Ovis aries: one gene and its partners. The protein of the gene in region 2 interacts with the protein of the main gene of each other region in a pairwise test. Links are inferred from orthologs where the notes say so. Each region holds a gene or a part of one and is shown on either strand. Other genes may lie near its edges. The genes, in order: SH3GL1, GPKOW and TCEA2.

Region 1 (5,030 bases), on a different chromosome or scaffold from region 2:
TCAGAGCAGCGCTTCTCAATGTTGGTGCTTCTGTCATTTGGACAAGATAACTCTTGCTGGTATAGAAGGCTGTTCTGTGTGTTACAGGGTGTTTAGCAACCATTCCTGGCCACTACCTACTCAGTGCCACTAGTGTCTGCTCCCCAAGGCCTGACAAAGCCAAATGTCCCTGGGGTGCTGCACGGAGAGGAAAGGGGAGAGGGAAAGGTTAGTCACCTCTAAGTGAAGAGGTGCCAATACAAGCTTGACAGATGCCAGTAGATACTCTGGGGTTCTTCTGAGGACCCCAGGGGAGATGCGGTGTCTGGGTGCTGAGTTTTACGTATGTGTCCATCTGCATATATCAGGTTATCTCTTGTTTCAAGAATTAGAAAAAGCAGGCAGCTGCCACAAGAATGCCCAGGAGGGATTTCTGTTGTTGCTGTTTGGTTTGGTTTGGGTAAAATTATCCTCACTTTTCTCAAACTGTAAAACAGGGTTTCCCAACCTCAGCACTGCTGACATCTGGGGCCCAGTACACTGTAATACAATTACCTCCCTCCAAGTTTTGACAGCCAAACATGCCTCCAGACATTGCCAATGTCCTCCAGAGGGTGGAACTGGCCCTGGCTGAGAACCACTGTCCTACTGGAAGACAAATGCCCCCCAATCCTTTGGTGTAGAAAGGGGAGTATGCTGACCCTTGGGCCAGATAAAGTGAGACTGAGACTGAGATCAACAGAGACTGGTTTAAAACATGTTCACTTGGTGAACCCTCAATATATACTAAGACTTAACAGAAATGTTACCTGGCCCAGACGATCCTATCCTGAGGACACAGAAAGAGGATGAAGGCGGTGTTTCTAAAATCAACACAAGAAATACGCAGAGAGGTGGACATGTCCAGACCCACAGTGGAGGTCTATGGAAACTATTGCAGAGGGAATGGAACACAGCCAGGGTGATTCTTGAGAGCACAACTCAACAGGGACTTGGTCACGAGGCCAAGACGACGGCTCCCAGAGGAGGGCGTGGCCATGGCGGTGATTCTTCGGGACTGGGCCCCAGAATGCCGCGATAATAAACTGATCTGAACCACCAGCTTACGCTGCACTGGGCTTTCCAGGTTTCTAAGCGCTCCCTCTAAGTGCTACATTCAGGTCTGAATGCAGGGCATTCTTCCTTCCCTGAGAGGAAAGGCTCAGGTGGACACCCTGAGAGCCCCAGCTAGTCCCTCCAGCACAATGGGTCTTCTGGGGGCAGGATGGGCTACCAGCCTGAGGCTGGAGCGGGGAGGGTTTCCAGAGACCCGACCACAGGAAGGAACAAGGTGGCCCAGGAGTTCTTCCAAGACCTATAGTTCTTACATGAGGGGCTACATCAGGGTGCAAGATAGTGAGCAGCACTGCAAAATGCTCTGGTCAAGTGTGCAGCGAGGCGGGGCGGAGGGGGAGGTAGAGGCTTGCTGGGCCAGGTTACTCATTCCATCCTGCTGGAGCACAGGGCTGTACTCTGAGCAACAACCCTAGAATCCATCTAGATTAAGTTTCTCTTCCTCCAGTGTTTAGCCTGGAGTCAAGAGACAGACCCCAAATATCTTTAGCCCTGTCTAGGATCATTACTTTCCCCCTCAAGGGGCCAAAGGTCCCGGCTGTGTATCACTGGGGACACATTTCTCTTCCCTCCCACTGGACCTCTCCAAGTCCTGGGTTAAAGTCTGGTTTGCCAGCACTGCCTAAAGGATTCCTATGACCATTGCTCGTTCCTTCCTGGAGTCCATCCACACAAACTCCAAACCTAAGATTCTTAAGGGATGGAGAAATCTGGGAACTTTTTGGATTTGAGCCTATAAACTGAATTTTACATTTGCCTAGTTTTCTGAAGAGCGGATCCACTCAGCTTTCACCAGATTTGTGAACAACGGGGCCTGGAATTTCCAAAACACCTATTCCGTCCATCACAAGTAGAACACTTAAACATTCTTGGATTCCACATTCCACTTCTGGGAACTTAACCTGTAAAGCCAATCCTACCTGTGAGCAGAGATACTCACTGGCTATTCATAACAGTACTGTACATGGCAGAAAACTACTTGAAACTATCTAAACATCCATCAATAGACAAATAGTTAAAAAAAAATCATGGTAGACTTCATGGAACGGAATATCACGTACCCATTAAAAAGATCCAGGAGGAGGTAGAGGAAAAGCAAAGAAGGAAGATGAAATACATGACATCTTATCTCTTCAAAAGAACAAAACAAAACAACAGAATTGAGCAGTAGGCTCTAGTGCTGGGGCTCTAGGGGGAGGGGGGAGAAGGGGGGTTCCCCTAAAGACATCTGGCAGCATAGGAGACATCAGTGGTTGTCACAACTGGGGGAGCTCCTAAATCGACTGGGAGGGGGCCAGGTGTGCTGCTCAATGCCCCAGAGTGCCCAGGATGGCTGCCAGGACAGAGAAAGACCCGAGGTGGAGAATTCTGACTCTAGTATGATCTCCAAGACACAGTTAATGAAAACCAGCAAGTACATGGTTCTGTGTAGACCATGCTACCACTACGTGGGTTTTTTAAAGAAGAGGCGTACACTTCTCTTTGGTTAACTGGTGACAGTCTTGTTTCTGGGGAGAGGGACTGGATGTCTGAGGAACTGAAGTGGGAAATTGACTTTTCACTCAATCCTTTCAGTTCTGCACCCGGCCCACTAAGAAGGCTGTTTGTCATCTTTGAAAAAAAGAATTGCTCTCGACACAGAATTCCCTGCCCCTGGGCTCTCTGTGTCGACAGCCTCCGGACGGCTTCTTCCTCTTCTCTCTCTCCGCTCCCTCCCTGACCTTTTAGAGGGAAGGACAGGAGGCGAGGGATCCATGTCCGGGAACAACCTCTGGGTGCATCTCTGCTCCCCTCCACCGTCTGCCCACCATCCTCGAGGAGACTGGAGCCCACATGGCGGACAGAGCCTGGGCGCCCTCGCACGCAGACCCTGTCCCTCCTAGGCTGTACCCACCCTGCGAGGGACGCGTGCCAAGATCGCCCCCTCCCTACCTCCGGTTCCCTCCTGAGTCAGGGCCAGGCCTGGCATCGCCTGGCCCCCATCCGAGCAGTCTGAGCCCGGGGCTCGCCGCACACCACCCCCACCCCGCCCCGCCTCGGCCTCCGCTCACCTGGCTCGCCTTGTAGAACTGCTTCTTCAGCCCCGCCACCGACATGCTGCCTCCCGCCGTCGGGCCTGCCGCCCGGACCCAGCGAACCGGAGGGACCGCGCAGGCGACAGGTTTCCGGGCGCCACCAGCCCCTAGCGCGCCTCAGCGGGCCCCTACGGCACCGCCTCCGCCGCCCTTAAACCAGCCCCGCCCGCCCCGGCGCCGCCTCAGACCCTCGCGAGCTCGCGCGGCCAGGATATTACATGGCAACCACACACTTCCGGTGCCGGCCCCCGCGCGCGCACGCGCGCCCTGAGCCCCCCGTCTGCTCACACGCGCCCCCTGCCGGAGGGGGGAGTGCACGCACATCCCGCCTGCTAACCGAGAGGCCGCCTCGGCCTATGAGTGGACTGGAGCGAGCCTAGAGGGGCTGTAGCGGCTGCAGCGACCCCTGGAGTCCCGGAGGTGGCCCTGACGTCTCAGGAAAAGTGCTTAGACCTTTCTTTAGAGGCTGGGGAGGCCAAGGGGCAGGTAGAACTCCAGAGGCTGAGTTTACAAATCTTCACATGCCTGTTCGCTAATCTCAGCTATATACAGTTCCTCTGAGGTCTTCCACCACCTTCCCTTCCAGTCCCGTGTTCATTCATTCAGTTGCCCAAATCAGACATCAGGTTATGACTTGTACCTCCTTTCTGCTACCCACTGTCTCTCTGCCCTGATCAGACCATTCCACCAGTCTTCTCTCTGGTGTGCCCAGCTTCAGGTTCTCCCCTCCAGTTCATCCGTTACAAGGCTGCCAGCAAGATGCTTCTATAACATAATTCAGATCACACGATTCCCTGGCCAATTCTAAAGCCAGTAGTATTGGCCTTAGAATACTTCTAAGGCCTTCTTGACATGGCCTACAAAGCTTGTAAAATTTGGCCCCATCACCTTTTCTGACTTCTATAACCCATGATCCTTTTTGCCTATGGGCTTTGCTAACAGTATTCCTCTCTTGCTCATTTCCTCCCAATCTTTCCTCCCATCCCTTCTGCATAAAAGAACTCTATTTGTAATGTCACCTCCTCCAGGAAGGCTTCTCAGATTCATATATGCTTACGGCTATTGATTTTTTTCATCAGTTGTTTTTTGTTGTATGAATCGAAAGTTAAGAATGAATCAAAATGAGTAAATGAATCCAAAAAGAAGAGCAGGGTTGGGGCCAGTTGCACAATAGATAACAAGTCTGACTACAGGTTGTAAGAAGAACAATAAAGTGACTAGAACTAAAGTGCTTGCAACTTCCGTATTGAAATCTCTGACAGAGTTGAGCGATTTTGTGAAGCAGAGGATTGCTGAAAGTTTACAAGTGCCTCTACAGAAGGTACTGGACTTGATCAGACTATTGCTTTAAAATATACATGCCCCAACCTCTCCCTAAGATCCTGATGGGGCTATTACGAATAGTGTGAAAAACCTCCCATGTGATTTTGATGGGTGTCCTGAATGGTGATCCACCAGCCTAAATCATTTCAGGTGCCAAAATGTCAGAGAAAGAAAGGAAAATATCCTAAAGGTTCAGACAAGGAAACCGAGACCTTGAGTAAGACGTGACTTGCCCAAAGTGATGTCCTATTTTTCCACATTATTTTCAACCAACCCTACTGATGTAATTATCCAATCTACAAGATAAATAGAATTCTGAAATTGGACTAAGTTAATTATTTGCTTCTCACTTTGCTTTGCTTGAGAGAGTAAATTGGTGCTGAACAAAACCTGTTCTAAGGCTCAAAGACTGACTCTGAAGGTCTCTGTTCCATGTGAAGTTTTTAACTGACATGATCACACAGTTCAATCAAATGATATTTATGTATTCACTCAAATATTTATTGGGTACCTACTAATGAATAAGTCACCAGTAGGTCC
Region 2 (4,428 bases):
AAACTCCTGCCCTTGTGTGGCTTACATTCTAGTTGTGGAGACAGAATAAATGAAATGCCTAAAACATGATATGTCAGGTAGGGATAAGTCAGATGAAGGAAAATAAAGCAGGTTAAGGGGATGCAGAGGGATGGAGAAGGGAGTGTCACCAAGTTGATATTTGAGTAGAGACCAAAGGAGATGATAGAGGGAACCCTGAAGATACAGGAAGAGTGCTCCAGAGAGGACAGTAAAAGCAAAGGCCCCAAGGCAGGACAAGATCTGTTGTGTGTGAAGAGCATCGTGAAAGCCAATGCGATTGAAACAGATGTGGAGGCAAAGAGGGGTGGTAAGAGATTAATCAGGAGAGCTGGCTAGAAGCCATGATAGGATCGCAGCTGCAACGGGACCAGTGAAAAAGTTACTGCAATAGTCCAAATGAGAAATGCTGGTGGCTCAGACCAGAGGAGTTGTGGAAAAGAGAGATGACGGGATTTTGCTGACAGTATATAGGGTATGAAATGAAGGGATTCAAGGATGACTCTAAGGTTTTTAGGCTGAGTGAGAGGAAGGATGGATGGATCTGTGATGGACTGAGATGTGGAAGGCTCTGAGAGGAGGGAAAATCAGGGAAAGGAGGCCAAAACTGGAACAGGATGGAGAGTGAAGTGAAGGTCTTTTTTAAGATGAAAGAAACCCAGAGGTTGTCTGAAGACTGAGGAGAATGGTTCAGTTGAAAGAATCTCTCCGCTTTGGGGCTGTAGGAGAACTAGAACCCAAATAAGCATTGCCAAAAAATTGTGAAGGAACAGGTGGAAAGTAGGGTCCATGAGTATGAAAGGCAGACTTGGTTACTTCTGTGGACACACCCCTCATCTCTCCTGTTATCAGAATCATCACTCCCTTAATTCTTTATATTCACTCTAGACACATCAAGGTGTCACTGATGGACACATACCATGCTGATTTCCTGTCACTATGCCATTGTCTGGGTGGTTGCTGCCATTAGGAGCACTCAACCTCCTCTTCCTTCTCTCACTAAACCCTATCTATCCTCCTGGCCTCACTCTTACCACTCTGGTCTGGGTCACCATCACCTCTAGCATGGACTGCTGCTCTCCTTGCCTCCACCTTTGCTTACTAGTCTGTTCTGCTCACAGCAGCCAGAGAGAGCCTGTCAAGTCATAAGTATTGTCCCTTCTCTGCTCAGAGCCCTCTCATTGCTCTCATCCCACTCAGAGTAAAAGCCCAAGTCCTCACGATGGCCCACTTGCGACCTCATCTGCTACCCTTCCCTCTCACTCATTCCACTCCAGCTACACTGGTCTCCCTGGTGTTCCTCAAATGCTCCAAGCAGAGTCTACCCTTAGGATCTTTACATTTCCTGTTCCCTTTGCTCCTCACCTCCTTCAGATAATCCCAGAGTCCAAACCTTTTCACACCTCAGTATTTGGATTCATTTGTCAATGCTTCCAAAAAGGACAGAAGGAAGGGAGAGGTGGCAGACCTGTAGTATACACACAGACTTTTCCTGCTGGTGCAGGGAGACAAGCCTGGCAGACAGGAAAATGAGAGACTGGGGAAGCGGGGAGGTGAGGGGCCAGCTCACTGTCTCAGCCTGGGGTTCGCTGTCTGTCCCTTCTCCGTTGGGGATGCATCCTTTCTGGATCATAGGGATAGTGAGTGTGGGGTCAACACCCACATTCTCTCTCTCCTCCAGAGACTTCTTGGATTCTGAAGAAGAATGGTAGGGAGCAATGAGGTCCCACCCTCTCCTTCCATCTTCCTCCCGTTCTTCCTTCACTAGGGCAAGGCAAAGGAGGGATTACCCACCCTCAATGAGCTCCTTCACAGCCTGGGACAGCATCCCATCCATCAAGACCTCAGTATGTATGGATGGCCCAGGGGCCTGGGCTGGTGGCTGCCTTCGATGGCCGTTCTGGATCAAAGGGATGACAAGTTCCTTGGGGGCTTCTGAGGGCTTCACACTGATGTGGACACAGAGGAGTGAAATTGGGAGAGTAGCACAAGCAGTGAGTCCTGAGCCACAACCCTTCACTCAGAAGAAACACAAGAGCCACACTCACCCCCAGCCCCATAGATCACGCCCTCTGTTCTCGTGTTATACCCTAGTGGTGCTTTCTTTGGATTCTCTCCCCCACCACAAACTTTTTTTTTTTTTTTGGCTGCACCCGGTGACTTGCGAGATAGTAGTTCCCTGACCAGGGGTCAAACCTGGGCCCCCTGCAATGAAAACACGGAGTCCTAACCACTGGACCACCAGAGAACCCTCTCTCCCCACCTCTTAAATGTCAGTGCCTTCGTGGAATCAGTCCTCAGTTCTGGACCTTCTGTTCATCCCAAGACCCACTTCTGTGGCTTCCACAAGGACCTAGAAATCACCATCTTCAGCCCAGACTCTCCCCCCAGTTCCAGGCTCCATACCAGCCTCCTGGATGGTTGATTCTCTTCTGGAATCACCTCCCTCAAACTGTCCATTCCGAATTAAGCTGATGATAGCCTCCCCCCAACCTGAATCTGGCGCTCAATTCCGGTCCCCATATCGAAGAAGCCTCACCGCTTCACCTGGGCCACTAGGAGCCCTGTCATTCTCATTCCTTTTCTTCTTTCAGAACACAAACACACGCTCCGCAGGGCCCCCCGACTCCTAAACACATCCTCTCTCAGGAATACATCCTCTCCTCTCAACCCCTCTGGCCAACAGATCCAATTTCCCCACCTCTCTTACTGACTCCCGACTTTTCTCCTTCACAGATTTTCTCCGGCTGTCCTTCAGACTTCCCAGGCCACTGTCACCAAGACATGAACTGATTCCACCCTCCCGCAGGCACCCACCGCACCGGTTTCCAAGGGATGAAAGTCCCAGCACTTCACCTCTGCAGCTCCCTGCCTTCCACGGTCTTCAAGAAATCCTTCTCCTCCGGAGCCGTGTCTCCCGCTAGCCATCTTCGGGCGGACGTGCGATTGAAGCTGAAGGAAATCGGGGCAGTGGAGGATCCCGTCGGCCGCAAAACACCATCTTCGGCGTCCGCCATCTTGCCCCTCTTCCCAGGCCGTCGTGCTGCTCTCTGGGAAGCTTAGTTTACGCTCACTTTGCCGGGGCCTTGAGCACGACCGGTAGAACTACCCTTCCCATGAAGCATTGCGGCACTGGCCGGCGAAGGCGGATAGAGACCGTAGGAAGTAACTGCCGTTCTTTTTACTTCACAGGAGCGCGTGACGCCAAGCATAGAGGGAAATGTAGTTCTTAGGGAAGCTGTATGCGTGCTAAGTCGCTTCAGTCGTGTCCGATTCTGCGACCCTATGGACCATAGCCCATAGGCCAGATTCCTCTGTCCGTGGGATTCTCCAGGCAAGAATACTGGCATGAGTTGCCATTCCCTCCTCCAAGGGATCTTCCTGGCCCAGGGATGGAACCCACGTCTCTTACATCTCCTGCGTTGGCAGGTGGGTTCTTGGGGAAGGTAGGCGTGATAGAAGATGGGTTCGTTCTTGCTAAGTATTCATTCCTATGTGTGGGCATTATTAATCGCCTGCTTTGCCCTACTGGTGTGGGAAAGTAGGGAAAGTAAATAATTAAGAAAAAAATCTGTGAGTGCCAATTGTGTACAATAATAAATAATAGACATGTAAGTGGTGCCTTCAAGATGATAGATGTAATAGTGGACAAACTCTAGATTCAAATACAGATGACCTTTGGATTACATGGGTTTGAACTGTGAGGGTCCATTTATACGTGGATCTTTCACTAAATAACCTACTACATTACTACATGATGTGAGGTCGGTTGGATGCAAGGTTGGTTGAATCTGAAGATGCAGAATCTGGAAGATTTTAGACTGCCCTGCATTGTTGCCCCTAATCACTACATCGTTCAAAGGCCAGTGGTATTAATAAAATAGTCTGGCTTCCTCTCTTGAGACTCCAAGTCTAGTGGGAAACAATGACACTCAAAACGGATAAAAAAAATGTTCCTAACAACTTTAAATGTTGTGAGAGCCACCTCCTAAGGCCTCAGAAGATTAATGAGACAGTCCTCTGAGTAGGACCTTAGAGTTTGTAAAGTAGAAGACCGATACTTAAATAGTCATAAGAAAGAAAACTACAAATCTAAAAATTCATCCCAAGGAAACCATCTAAGATGTTAAAAAGTATTTTATATCTTATTTATTGTAGCAAAGCTTGAAGACCACTAAAATGAACAACAAAAGGGGGTGGGCTAAATGAATTAGAGCACATGGTTTGGATGGAACCAATACAGAGCTTTTAAATGTGAAGCTATAATTAAATGAAATGAGGACATAGTCACAGTGTTTGGAAAGTAAATAATGATTTAGTGGGTTATAGGAAGCTCTTGAAAACAGGTAGCCCAATATTCAATAAATTTTTTGGCTATGCTTTCAGGCTTATAAGCCCTAGGCATCCTGG
Region 3 (5,160 bases), on a different chromosome or scaffold from region 2:
CCTGAGGGTGACCGTTCCATCTGCACGAGCCTCAGTGAGAAACACCGTCGGTTTCTCTTGAATGCCCATTCCTATCTCATGGAGCAACAGAGAAAGGCAGGGACCGTTTCCTCAGGGGCAGGGATTCATGCCAACCAAAAGCAGGGCAGGGGCAGGAAGCCCCACCAGGTGCTGGGAGCTGGGGGGCTCATGGGGCCCTACCTGCAGCAGATGCAGTGTGACAGGCATGGCCTTCAGCTCCCGCAGCAGGTCCATGGCTCCCTCCTGGAAGAAGGGAGGGCCCACGTAAATGACTCTCAGCTCTTGGTGGGCAAGCCCACCTCATCCTACACACAAGGGTTGGGAGAACAAACACAGGCAGTGACAATTTGGAGACCCACCTGGGTCAGATGCCCCAGGAACGCTAACCCCCCACCACAGGGCCAACAGGGGAAAGGGCCACAGCCCTCCCTGGCAGGGGTGCCATACCAGGAAGAAACACAGCCCTGAGAAGTGCCCACTCCTGCCTGGTCCCATGTCCTCTGCCCACGGAACTCTGGCAGCCTCTCCTCAGCGCCCCTTGCTGAGGCCAAGACCTCAGGGGCCTCTGCTCTCCTCACATGAACCCCCACACCCTACTCACTCCCTCCAGCTGTGTCACCTCGCCTGGCCCAACAGAGCCCTGTCTCCCTTCTCTGACCAGCACTCTCGCCCACATCTGCTTCCTCCGGGGCACACACACACAAGCCACATGACGCCACGGCAGACAGCTCCCTGGGGCCCTTCAGGACCGCTGGCCCTGCTGCTCCCACCACCAGCAACACACCTGCCCCCATCTCCTCCTAGAGCTCTGCTGAAACCACAGCTCTGTAGTCAGGGGGAGGCCTTGCACCACCCCACCCACGCCGGGCTTTGCCTTCCTCCACAGAAGCCTCGGGGAACCCACCAGTGAGGTTTCACGTGTGTGTGTCTGAGGACATGGGGGAGGCAGCCACCCAAGGCAGCCTAGCTGTGGGAGGGGCACAACCTGCCCCTCCCCAATCTGGATGGCACCTCTGCTCAGGCTGCAGCCTAACCCTCATCACCCCTGGCAAGTCCTGCCCCTTGGGCTGCAGAGTCCAGCCCCATGGTAAGCTCCTCACAGGGGACAAATGGTCACCAGAGACAAGGGCACAGTGCAACTCAGCAATCATCTTCCCCAGAATGGTGCCCCAGGCTGCAGGATACCAGCTTTCTGATGCCTCCGGACCAGGGAGGCATAAAACAGGATTCCCAGTCGTGGCCCCCTACTCCCCAAGGGGCCTTGAAGGCACTGGGACCCACCAGAATTCTCTGTTGGCTCTCACTCACCGGTCCATGGTGCCTCAAACCTTCTCACGCCCTTCCCAGTCCATACCTGTCCCCCCTCCTCATTTTCCCCTGGGCTTCCATCCATATGGTGCTCCACCTAGGTGTCCCCTCCCCTAGCCCTGCCTGGCCCCACCCAGTCCTCCGTGGGTCCCATGACCCATCTCTGCCCCGACCTGGAGGGCGTTTGTTTTGTCTCCTCTGGGGAAAGCAACTTTTTTCTCTTGGCATCTCTGGAAATAGCCATAGACATTCCCACACCCCTGCTCTGGGCTGCCCACTGCCTCCCAGGGGTGTGGACATTGTGCAGGGTTTGGGGACGAGGCAGTGTTGTTGCTTGATAGATGAATGATAGCATGGGAATCAGCCCCCTTCACCGCCTGGGTGGAGAACCCTGTCCAAAGACCGACTCAACCATACTCAGCCCAAAAGCCAGCCCCAAACCACCAGCCCTGAGGTGGTTGGGCAGGCATCTTAAGCCCCAAGCTGAACCTCCCCCGCAACTGCCACCACCACTCACCCACCCCAGGAGCTGAGTCTGGGGAGAGAGCAGGTTTTGTTTATTGAGCCTCTCTAGGAGCAGCAGGACCCCCCACCCCCACCCCTAGAGGCAGGTACCATCCAGCATAGATGCTTCCTATGAGGGTACGCAGGTCACCTAGGCCCAAAACTGAGAGGGGCCTGGAACTGGAGGCCCATCTGCTAGGCCCTCTGAGCCCCAGCTCAGTTTTTCCCAAAGGTTCACTGGCCTAGGGACAATGGAGGACCAGCCCCACAGCGAGCATGGCTGGCTGGAGTCCGCGGCCCTGGGATTCCCAGGGCAGGCTCAGGGCCTCCTAGGTAGGGCTCTTTCCCAAGGTGCCTACGCATTTACCCACTCCCCAGGAGCTTCTGGCTGAGCCATGGCTATGGAAGGGAAAGAATTTATTAGGGCAACCTGGTTCTTGGGCGACTGAATAGACAAGGAAAAAAAAGGCCTTCCCACCCAAGAAAGCCCTCTGGCCGGCTGGCTGGAGAAATGAGACGTCGGGGCCGCCGCAGCCCCAGACCAGGCAGAGGTAGGGGAGGCGCCACAGCTCCAGGGAACAAGGGGTCCAATCTCACACTCCAAACTCTTGAAGGCGGAGAAAGGATGTGGGAGACCTAAGGTGGGACAGAGGGCTCTGAGTCGGGGTGGGCCTTGGCAGGGAGTTCTGGGGGACTCCGAGGATGCCTAGGATGGGGAGGATGAAGGCCAAGGCGGCGGGCGGCCAGTCAGGGCTGTACAGGCCCGGACTTCAGCGAGGCCTGGAGGGGCGGGGCCGAGGAGGGTCTCCGCCTGGCCGGCCTCCCGAGGGGGTCTGGAGTGAGGGGTGGAAACGGGCAAATCCCAGGCCCGCGGGGTCTCAGCCTGACAGTTGGGGTCTGAGTCCAAAGCGGGTGGTTCCCGGGACAAGGTCCAGGTCGGATCGCGGCCTCTGCCGTGGGTGCGAGGTGAAGGGTTAGGGCTGGCCCAGGATGGGGGTCTCGGCCTCTGGCGGGGGTCTCCCCGCGTCCTGAGAGTCTCTGCCAGGGCGGAGCCTCGTCCTGCCCTTCGAATGGTCACCGCGACCCTGACGGGGGCTCGGCAGGCTCGGCGGGGGCTCGGCGGGGCGGGGGTCCCGGGGTCCTGACGGCCCGCGCCCCTCACCGCGCTCTTCTTGGTCACCATCTTGTCCAGCCTCCGGGCGATCCGCGCTATCTCCTCCTCCTTGCCCATCATCGCCTTGGGGGCAGGGCCCCCAGTGCCCGCCGTGCCAGCCTCAGCCTCCCGGCCCGGACCCCGGCCCCGGCCGCCGCAGCCTCCCGCACCCTCCGCAGTAGACGCAGCCCCGCCACGGGCGGGAGACCCTCCGTTCAAACCCCCGGCCCCCGCGACGCCGCGCTGCATCTTGGGACATGTAGTTCTCGCTCCCGCCCACCCTGCGCGAGCCCTCCCCGCTCCCGACCACAACTCCCAGGAGCCAGGTAGGCGCGCAAGGCATCCTTGGAAGTGTAGTTCTGACGCGGGCCGCCGCCCAAGGCCTGAACGCGCGCGGGCCCGTTAGTCGGCGGAGGGCGCTGCGGCAGCGCGGAACCCGGCCATGCGTAGGGCCCGCAGCGCCGAACGCTGCACTTTCCTCCGGACACCGCGCGGGGGCGACCCGGGTCCGACGGCAAGAGGCCGCTAAGGCACGCTAGGGTCGGTCCCCTCTCCCCACCTCTTGAGCCCTCCTTCGCCACCTTCTTCAGTCCAGAGGGCGGCTGCCCGATCCCAGTCCTGCGCCGAGCCCCTGAGCGCTCTGGCTGGAATTGTGGTCTCGGGGACCCTGGAGGCCTCAGTCACTCAGTCACTTCAGTCGCTCAGTCCTGTCCGACTCTTTGCGACCCCATGGACTGCAGCACGGCAGGCCTCCCTATCCATCACCAACTCCCGGAGTTTACTCAAACTCATGTCCATTGAATCGCTGATGCCATCCAACCATCTCATCCGCTGTTGTCTCCTTCTCCCATTCTGTCTTTCCCTTCTCCCACCCTGTCTTTCCCAGCATCAGGGTCTTTTCAGATGAGGCAGTTCTTTGCATCAGGTGGCCAAAGTATTGGAGCTTCGGCTTTAGCATCAGTCCTTCCAATGAATATTCAGGACTGATTTCCTTTAGGATTGACTAGTTTGATCTCCTTGCAGTCAAGGGACTCTCAAGAGTCTTCTCCAACATCACAGTTCAAAAGCATCAATTCTTCAGTGCTCAGCTTTCTTTAAAGTCCAACTCTCACATCCATACATCACTACTGGAAAAACCATAGATTTGACTAGACGGACCTTTGTTGGCAAAGTAACGTCTCTGCTTTTTAATATGTTGTCTAGGTTGGTCCTAACTTTTCTTCCAAGGAGCAAGCATCTTTTAATTTCATGGCTACAGTCACCATCTGCAATGATTTTGGAGCCCAAAAAACTAAAGTCTCTCACTGTTTCCACTGTTTCCACACTTTCCCCATCTATTTGCCATGAAGTGATGGAACCAGATGCCATGATCTTAAGTTTTCTGAATGTTGAGTTTTAAGCCAATTTTTTCACACTCCTCTTTCACTTTCATCAAGAGGCTCTTTAGTTCTTCACTTTCTGCCATAAGGGTGGTGTCATCTGCATATCTGAGGTTATTGATATTTCTCCCAGCAATCTTCATTCCAGCTTGTGCTTCATCCAGCCTAGCATTTCTCATGATGCACTCTGCCTATAAGTTAAATAAGCAGGGTGACAATATACAGCCTTGATGTACTCCTTTCCCTATTTGGAACCAGTCTATTGTTCAATGTCCAGTTCTAACTGTTGCTTCCTGACCTGCATACAGATTTCTCAAGAGACAGGTCAGGTGGTCTGGTATTCCCATCTCTTTCAGAATTTTCCACAGTTTGTTGTGATCCACACAGTCAAAGGCTTTGGCATAATCAATAAAACAGAAATAGATGTTTTAAGGAACTCTTGCTTTTTTGATGATCCAGCGGATGTTGGCAATTTGATCTCTGGTTCCTCTACCTTTTCTAAATCCAGCTTGAACATCTGGAAGTTCATGGTTCACGTACTGGTGAAGCCTGGCTTGGAGAATTTTGAGCATTACTTTACTAGAGTGTGAGATGAGTGCAATTGTGCAGTAGATTGAGCATTCTTAATGTTGAAGCTGAAACTCCAATACTTTGGCCACCTGATACGAAGAACTGCCTCATCTGAAAAGACCCTGATGCTGGTAAAGATTGAGGGTGGGAGAAGGGGACGACAGAGGATGAGACAGTTGGATGGCATCAGCGACTCAATGGACATGAGTTTAAGTAAACTCCGGG

The links.
Region 1: the proteins of GPKOW (region 2) and SH3GL1 interact in binary tests that used the Homo sapiens proteins (3 or more experiments, as listed by UniProt). The two-hybrid records come from large-scale screens. The link is inferred for Ovis aries from reciprocal best matches to the Homo sapiens genes GPKOW and SH3GL1.
Region 3: the proteins of GPKOW (region 2) and TCEA2 interact in binary tests that used the Homo sapiens proteins (3 or more experiments, as listed by UniProt). The two-hybrid records come from large-scale screens. The link is inferred for Ovis aries from reciprocal best matches to the Homo sapiens genes GPKOW and TCEA2.

Annotation. Positions count from the first base shown.
Region 1 is NC_056058.1:17,515,700-17,520,729, reverse strand, and holds the start of SH3GL1 (endophilin-A2), read right to left. Parts: upstream 3,386-5,030; 5' UTR 3,189-3,385; coding exon 3,144-3,188; intron 1-3,143. UniProt on the Homo sapiens protein: Implicated in endocytosis. May recruit other proteins to membranes with high curvature.
Region 2 is NC_056080.1:56,001,973-56,006,400, reverse strand, and holds part of GPKOW (G-patch domain and KOW motifs-containing protein), read right to left. Parts: 5' UTR 3,036-4,428; coding exon 2,875-3,035; intron 2,372-2,874; exon of another isoform or gene 2,282-2,371; intron 1,968-2,281; coding exon 1,813-1,967; intron 1,714-1,812; coding exon 1,589-1,713; intron 1-1,588. UniProt on the Homo sapiens protein: RNA-binding protein involved in pre-mRNA splicing. As a component of the minor spliceosome, involved in the splicing of U12-type introns in pre-mRNAs.
Region 3 is NC_056066.1:53,508,419-53,513,578, forward strand, and holds the start of TCEA2 (transcription elongation factor A protein 2), read right to left. Parts: upstream 3,204-5,160; 5' UTR 3,068-3,203; coding exon 2,996-3,067; intron 2,470-2,995; exon of another isoform or gene 2,312-2,469; intron 327-2,311; exon of another isoform or gene 265-326; coding exon 202-264; intron 1-201. UniProt on the Homo sapiens protein: Necessary for efficient RNA polymerase II transcription elongation past template-encoded arresting sites.